Kluyveromyces lactis: one gene and its partners. The protein of the gene in region 1 interacts with the protein of each later gene in a biochemical or structural test. Links are inferred from orthologs where the notes say so. Each region holds a gene or a part of one and is shown on either strand. Other genes may lie near its edges.

Evidence for each region.
Region 2: the proteins of MIA40 (region 1) and TIM9 form a complex in vitro, tested with the Saccharomyces cerevisiae proteins (4 studies listed by BioGRID). The link is inferred for Kluyveromyces lactis from reciprocal best matches to the Saccharomyces cerevisiae genes MIA40 and TIM9.
Region 3: the proteins of MIA40 (region 1) and COX17 form a complex in vitro, tested with the Saccharomyces cerevisiae proteins (2 studies listed by BioGRID). The link is inferred for Kluyveromyces lactis from reciprocal best matches to the Saccharomyces cerevisiae genes MIA40 and COX17.

What each region holds. Positions count from the first base shown.
Region 1 is NC_006040.1:228,325-231,358, reverse strand, and holds MIA40 (Mia40p), read right to left. Parts: upstream 1,794-3,034; coding exon 573-1,793; downstream 1-572. Other genes in the region: mRNA splicing protein SPP382, read left to right, coding at 1-196; palmitoyltransferase YKT6, read left to right, coding at 2,193-2,795. UniProt on the Saccharomyces cerevisiae protein: Required for the import and folding of small cysteine-containing proteins (small Tim) in the mitochondrial intermembrane space (IMS). Forms a redox cycle with ERV1 that involves a disulfide relay system.
Region 2 is NC_006041.1:2,034,670-2,037,007, reverse strand, and holds TIM9 (protein transporter TIM9), read right to left. Parts: upstream 892-2,338; coding exon 628-891; downstream 1-627. Other genes in the region: URA3 (orotidine-5'-phosphate decarboxylase), read right to left, coding at 1,210-2,013. UniProt on the Saccharomyces cerevisiae protein: Mitochondrial intermembrane chaperone that participates in the import and insertion of multi-pass transmembrane proteins into the mitochondrial inner membrane.
Region 3 is NC_006042.1:1,445,796-1,448,672, forward strand, and holds COX17 (copper metallochaperone COX17), read right to left. Parts: upstream 1,529-2,877; coding exon 1,499-1,528; intron 738-1,498; coding exon 576-737; downstream 1-575. Other genes in the region: MEU1 (S-methyl-5-thioadenosine phosphorylase), read right to left, coding at 1-109; CYR1 (adenylate cyclase), read left to right, coding at 1,954-2,877. UniProt on the Saccharomyces cerevisiae protein: Copper chaperone for cytochrome c oxidase (COX). Binds two copper ions and deliver them to the Cu(A) site of COX.

The DNA of each region.
Region 1 (3,034 bases):
AAAAACTGATAATGATACTGCCTCAATTAATATATTTGGCAAAGAGAAGGTAGCTCCGGTATTCACTGTGAGTAAATATAACAATAAAAGAGTAAATGTAGTCCTTATGGGAGATATTTTATGGTTACAAAGGAGAAACAGAACAGAATCAAGATTTGAGCCAATTTTTCTCTACCAATTACTGGATCTAATTTGAAAACAGAATAAGCATGGCATATCATTAGGAAAATGTCTTTATGTAGTGTTTATACACGCTATCAGAACATTTCATTGGATTTTTGTTCGTTTTCACATTGCCATTATGTCGAATGGAATTGTAGAATGTAATAAGAATGTATGTTAATTTTTTTTTTATTGGACAAAGAAGGCGAGTTCGATGAACAGGTCAGTTCATTACGAGAGCCATGGGCTTTTATTTGAATTGGATATAACACAAACAAGGGAACCACGTAATTTTTTTAATTTCTTTAGCTTTAGTTTTATTATCTTTGTTCAAACGTCAGAATTCATGATGCTCATTGGCAAATTTAAAAAAGTATCTTTAACGGCAGCAGTTCAGGGTCGGGAAGATTCTATTTCTTTTCATCGTCAGTGTTCGTGACAGCGGCAGCTTCAGGAGTATCCTTTAGTTGAGGGTTTTCTTCCACATATTTTTCCAAGACAGGTTCGAAAACGGCATTTTCAGTTTGTACTTCAACAGTAGAGGTGGCAGTTGAAACCGGGGTAGTGCTCTTATCCTCGATTTTTGAAGCTTCTGCAGAAGCTTCTTCTTCATCCTTGATTTGTTCAGCATAATAGTCTGGGTATTTTCTGAAACAATTTTGCATAGTGGAGAACTTCTCAACACAGTTGATACCCTTTGGATCAGCTTCAGAGTAGACAAAACATGAAAAAGCGGACTTAAACTCTTCACCGCAAGGACCGTATGCCATACCACCTAAACAAGGACAATCCCAGTTGATTTCACCAGTTTCTGGGTTGTATGCAGTTTGTTGTTCGTTTTTTTTTTCACCTTGAACACCTGCAGCCGCAGCAGCCGCAGTAGCGGACTGTTCAGCAGTGCCACCGGAGATAGACCGAATTTCAGCTTGCTCTTCTGCTTCTGTTATGGTCTCAGCTTCAGCAGGAGATTTTTCATGCAAAACAACATCCGATTCACCTTCTGAACCGTCTTTTGAGGCGGTTTTTACGGCATCTGGGCTTGTTTGTTGAATCTCCTTTTTGTCAGCTTCATCTTCTAAAACAACACCCTTGGCAGTTTTTGAGTCATCGAAGCTCAAAGAGGGAGCTTTGGTATCCTCGGAAATGCCAGTAACAGGTTCATTGGTGGCTTCTCCACTGGCAGCTGGTTCGGTAGCTTGTTCATTGACGGATTCAGCAACTGGCTCAATGGCAGCTGGCTCATCTCCTGATAAGGTGGCTGCTAAGGCCTGGTGTGTCTCCTCGCTATAAGTAATCTCGTTCTCAGGAGTAGTAACTGGCTCAGCACCTTCCTCCTGAGCAGACACCGGAGATTCATCGGCATCCTTCGTAGGTTCAGAAATAGATTGTGATTGGCCCGCTGCAGGAGTCTCTTCAGCAGGCTTCTCAGCAGGAGCAGGCTTCCTCTCAATCAAAGTAGGACACCCATCAGCAACGTAGATGGCACCAAGAGTACTGAACCCAGCCAACAACAATGCTGGCTTGTTCATATGGCTCACTCCACCGGAAGGTGGATGAGCACTGTAAAACCTAATTTGTCTAGCGGATCTAAAAGCAACACGTCTAGTAGCTTGTAAAGAAACACGGAACATTGTCTTCAAAAAAATATGTATATGCCTATAATCAATTGACTCGTCAGCAACTTTCAAACGTTTTCTAAGTGTACTGTAAAAATACCAAACCTAACTAAAAGCAAATTTCTTTCCTCCCGTTGTGGGTATCAATCAGCTTCTCTTTTAAATGTTCCTTTGACAAATTGAAAATGCCTTTGTTAGCAAAAAAAAGAAAAATTCGAATATCAAACAAAATGGATATTGAAGCATTGTGATATGAGGATGGGAAATGATGATGTATTTTGAAGATAACACGGAGACGAGAAGGACAGTGTTATAGTACACGTATAGGGGATCTAAGAATAGTTAAGTTTGGGCAAAATAGTAGCTTTTTTTCTCATTTGACAAGTGGGAGAAAACAGGATACAGGATACAAGGATGAAGATATATTACATTGGAGTTTTAAGAAACAGCGATGATAAGACCCTTGAATTAAGTTCTGTGAAGGACTTATCACAATTTGGGTTCTTTGAAAGGAACAGTGTTGCACAGTTCATGTCCTTTTTCAGTGAGACTGTTGCTGGCAGGACAAGTGCTGGTCAAAGACAGAGTGTTGAAGAAGGTAACTATGTAGGTCACGTTTACGCAAGGCCTGAAGGAATTTGTGGTGTTTTGATTACGGATAAGGAGTACCCAGTAAGACCAGCTTATACGTTGTTGAACAAAGTATTGGATGAGTATTTGGTAGCGCACCCTCCTATCCAGTGGAAGGACGTGACGGAGAGTGACGATTCGCTCAAGTTGAAGGAGTTGGATATCTATATTGCCAAGTATCAGGACCCATCTCAAGCTGATGCAATAATGCGTGTACAGCAAGAATTAGACGAGACCAAGATCACGCTACACAAAACCATTGAAAACGTATTACAAAGAGGTGAGAAATTGGACAATTTGGTAGACAAGTCCGAATCACTATCTGCTGCATCGAGGATGTTCTATAAGCAAGCAAAGAAAACCAATTCGTGCTGTATAGTTATGTAGACGGATTTGAAATAGAGGCCAAAACATGGCCAGCCTGATCATATATAGCCCTTGCTACGAGTATTAAGCATAATAGTAATCAAAATAAAGTAATAGTAAGGTTTCACCGGCGTTTTGACCGCCACCTTTGATCAGCCTTTCGTTCCTTCCTGTCCACTAGGGTCTGATTTATCTATCATCATCTGGCTGAGTACGGGCAGCGGATCAATTTTGAAAGAAATTTTCTCCAAAAAAAACGA
Region 2 (2,338 bases), on another chromosome or scaffold:
AGGTGGATGCTCGTTACTTTGAAGTGTTTTGAGAAGAGGTCATGTGATTTGAATGTTCTACTTGATCAGAGGAGTTGTTCTCCTCATTCCAGGTGGGAAATTCGGTGGAACGCAGCTGTCCGCTCGCCGAGGGTTCAAACCCCCGGTGAGTTATAATCAAGCAAATCCCTAACGGGATTTTCGCTTCGTGAGAAGGTTGTTTCTAATGGAACTTCAGCTTGAGCCCTATTGTCGTTGTTATAATAAATCAAGTCGCCAGTTCTTCTCTAATGGAGACCACGTGACATGGGAGGGACAACGGACGGACAGTTTAGCTTGTCATTTACGACAATGCCTAGTTGAGTGCAATGCAGGGAGTCTGCAACTTACGCAGATAACACAATACCGATTACCTTGTGTCTGAGGAGCATCTTTTTTTGGCCAGTCATATGGCAATGAAATGCAAACCTTTCTATATACAGAAACAGAATGAATATACATGGGAGAGATAGTCCTTAAAATCTATGGTAATCGTAGTAGCTACGATAAAATGTTATGATATAATGTTATAATATAATGTTATAATATAATGAAGTATGTACAGAATAAAATTTGAGGTTGGTAGGGAGAATTTCTTCTTTAAACCTTTTAACGACCCATGGTTTGATTCATGGCAGCATTTTGCTCTTGGAAACGTTGACCCACACGTTCACTGTGTTTCAAGAACTTTTCTGAACATCTCATTATACAGTTTTGTTCCTTAGAAGTAAGCTTAGCGGATGTGAAGTCGTTGACACAGTCGCTGAAACATCTTTCGACCAAGTTGGAGTATAGACGCATGAAATCCTTCATTTGCTTTTGTTCCACGATTTTTTGGAACTCTTGTTGTTCCTTACCATTAAGTTGATCCATTGTGTGCTTGCTTCTTTTCTTATCCGGGGTATATGATAATTAATCTTACCAATTGGATGACAAACAGTCTGGAGGAAGTTTGAGAGGGCTTATCGCAATGGTTGTAATGGTTTAAAACTCTTTTTCGATGATGTAGTTTCTGGTTTTTAAATCTCACATAATGAAAGAGAGAGAGAGAAGCAAACAAAAAATTTTCAGTTCAATACAACAGATCACGTGATCTTTTTGTAAGATGAAGTTGAAGTAGTGTTGCACCGTGCCAATGCAGGTGGCTATTAGATTAAATATGTGATTTGTTCTATTAAGTTTCCTGTATAATTAATGGGGAGCGCTGATTCTCTTTTGGTACGCTTCCCATCCAGCATTTCTGTATCTTTCACCTTCAACCTTAGGATCTCTACCCTTGGCGAAAAGTCCTCTGCCAACAATGATGATATCTGATCCACCACTTACAACTTCGTCGACGGTTCTGTACTGCTGACCCAATGCATCGCCTTTGTCGTCTAAACCTACACCTGGGGTCATGATTAGCCAATCAAACCCTTCTTCTCTTCCTCCCATATCGTTCTGAGCAATGAACCCAATAACGAAATCTTTATCACTCTTTGCAATATCAACGGTACCCTTAGTATATTCACCGTGTGCTAGAGAACCCTTGGAAGACAATTCAGCAAGCATCAATAATCCCCTTGGTTCTTTGGTGACCTCTTGCGCACCTTGTTTCAAGCCAGCAACAATACCAGCACCAGTAACCCCGTGGGCGTTGGTGATATCAGACCATTCTGCGATACGGTAAACGCCCGATGTATATTGTAATTTGACTGTGTTACCGATATCGGCGAATTTTCTGTCCTCAAATATCAAGAACTTGTATTTCTCTGCCAATGCTTTCAATGGAACGACAGTACCCTCATAACTGAAATCATCCAAGATATCAACGTGTGTTTTCAAAAGGCAAATGTATGGACCCAACGTTTCAACAAGTTTCAATAGCTCATCAGTCGAACGAACGTCAAGAGAAGCACACAAATTGGTCTTCTTTTCATCCATTAAACGTAAAAGTTTCGATGCAACCGGACTTGCATGAGTCTCAGCTCTACTGGTATATGATTTTGTGGACATGGTGCAACTAATTGACGGGAGTGTATTGACGCTGGCGTACTGGCTTTCACAAAATGGCCCAATCACAACCACATCTTAGATAGTTGAAATGACTTTAGATAACATCAATTGAGATGAGCTTAATCATGTCAAAGCTAAAAGTGTCACCATGAACGACAATTCTTAAGCAAATCACGTGATATAGATCCACGAATAACCACCATTTGATGCTCGAGGCAAGTAATGTGTGTAAAAAAATGCGTTACCACCATCCAATGCAGACCGATCTTCTACCCAGAATCACATATATTTATGTACCGAGTACCTTTTTTCTATCTTCCAATTG
Region 3 (2,877 bases), on another chromosome or scaffold:
TTCCTAGATCAATAGTCCCATCAAAAGTCTGAGGTAACTGCGTAGAATTCGTCATTTTAAAGCTGTAGAATTTCGGGATAACGTTAAACTTCCTGACGAACGTTTTCATAAAACGAATAACGTTGTAAAGAGGAACTAGAAGAGTTTTGGTTCACCAGATCAGATTTGAAAGGACTAATTTACAGACAGTTTTATTTAAATTAATGCATGCATGCGCTCATTGTAAACTTTTCTGAAGATGGAGATGAGCATTCGAGAGACAACGCAGGTGAAAAAAAATGAATAATCACGTGCTCTTCTTCTTTTTCTTTTGTTTCAATGATACTATTAAAAAGACACAATTATTAACAGAACCTAGCTTCTAAGACTATGCTTTTAATTGCATAAATGATTTTTGTATAGTTGTAGGTATACTAAAGTTGGAATTTGGAATTTCTGGTTATCGCAGTATTTACAGGAATGAGGATGGGGTAGTCGAAAACCTTCCAAACCTTCCAAACATTGATATATGTATAAATATTCTTCTCTTCGCAAAGTTTCGTCATAATGGGTCAGCTGCCATTGTCGCATTAGATTCAAACTTCAAAGCCATATCCCTTCATACAGGTCTTATACTTAGCGATCAACTCATCGCACTTACCGGATTCTTGGCCATTAAATAGAAGACATTCGTCTCTAGCTTCCTTTTCTGGCTTGCAAACACAGCATGGCTTTGGCTTAGTAGCCTCTGTCTCTGTCTTAACTGGAGCAGTGTTGGTCTCTTGTGGCATTGTTTCTATAGAGTTTTGCTGTTGGGATGTGTCTGGATATTGAACTGAAAGGTATCAGGTTAAATGGTGACAGATTAAAGGGCTGGTTTCAATAACTTACCTACAATTCTTTACAAACCATCGACATGTTAGTTGTATTACTAAATCCTGTGAGAAGCTTCTCAGTAGTTACCTTTTTGAACTTTTAACATTCAGTGTCTGATTTCATTACCCGGATAATGCTCATGTGACTTGTCCGATTGATTATCTAATCCGCCATATATGGTAAAAATGTTCGAACGAAGAGTCCATATGGAGAGCTGCTGGAAGTTGAATTACAGGCTCGATAGAGTTCTCCTAGAGATAAATAAGAAGTTGGTACATTGTATAGAATATCAAAACCACCAGATCAGCTTTCAATTTCAACTGATTGCTGAGTTTGCAATATCAGTCACGTGGTAATTTTATATCTCCTATCACCTCTCTTATACTCTTCATCCTTAACTTAGGGCAGTAAAATGAAAAGCGGACAGTAGGTTCAGTTTGAACATGAGGTCTCATTAAAGCTAGCAGCTGGATCCCTCACATTGCAGCATTACCGTTCCACGTATGATGATGTCAAAGCTTCCCTTTTTGTTAAGGGGAGACTTTGCACGTTGGAAACGAAAATTTCTCACTGAATTGATGGAGAGCTGAAAAAAATGTGAAATAACAAAATGTGCAAAATATAATGTTTGATACGGACATACTGATGCACTAGATTGGAAATTCAGGTGCATAGTAAAACCCTACTTCACTCTGGTATTGTCATAACCCAAGTGCTCATTGAAATATAGTGTTACAACGATTCAATTGTGTTATCGTGTTTACGCTGGTGTTGAAAAAACCAAGTACGTTGATCATTTTGCGTTCTTAGTTAATCACTGGTTTTTATCAGACTTTGATTTGACACTATTTGTAATTAAAGACAATAATATATCTTCAACAGCAATTTGTAATTTTAATTTCTGTTGACAAAAACACAATCGATTATAGTCTCACTTCATTTTGGCATAATCTTTGTCAGAAGTTGGATAATAATCATTTTCCTTATAATAATCTGTCCTGTTTGGATTCTTAAGTGCTGGTTTATGGGTACTTGTATTCATTTGTAAATTCAACCACTCAAGACAAACCACAGTGCGAGAGAAAGAAGAGGTCAACTATGAATCCACAACCGAAAGAAACTAATCGAAGCTCCATCTCCTCGGGAGCAAGAAACAGTGCTGGCAGTGCTTCTTCAAATAACAGTATCTCAAGTAAAAATAGCGGTAGGGAGTTACAACCACGAAGCGATACCGATAGCGAATGGCAAGACGTTGGTATGCCCACTTTTAAAGAGGACTATTCCATAGATGCAATTACGAAGAAGGTGAAACCTGGGAAAAAGGGTTTCCATTCTGCTATAGTTCGTGATGCTGGATCATTCGCGCACAATCCTCAACCACCTTTGGCAAAACCGGTGAAACCCACTTTTGAAAGGTCCCGGACTGCAAACCTGACCGCAACTTCATCAAGAGGTAACCTGCCGCTACTTTCGCGCACTTCCAGTACGCTGTCAGTATCAACAGCTACTTCACATGGACATAAAGGAACTACCAAACCGTCACGTGCAACTAATTTCTTCAAGAAACTTACCAGCAGGAAATCATCTCTGGCAAGCCAAGGAGGGCCTCCAGATTCAGATAATCAAATAAGCCAAGGTGGCAGAGTGTCGGCTTCAGATGGTGAACAGCAGTCACCCTTTCATCAACAGTCTCTGCAACAGCAAGTTCCCACTAACGCTTTGCGGAGAAAGATGAGCACATTCATACATGGTTCTTCAACCATGTCTGCGGCGTCTACTTTGACATCCGCAAATGCTCCTCATATGAAACACTCTGGGTCTAAGGGCAGCTCCCTGTTACATTCAGGTAACGAAGCCAGCAATGGTTCAAATTTAAGCGGTGGGAATGCGACAAGTGGCGTTTCGAACCAACAACATGGAGTAAGTTCTGCAGGCAGAAGTATTGACACAGACCTGTCAAGAAGAAATTCAGGGACCTCATTTGATGCTTCTAAATTATCAGCCGCTAAAGAAATATTTGGT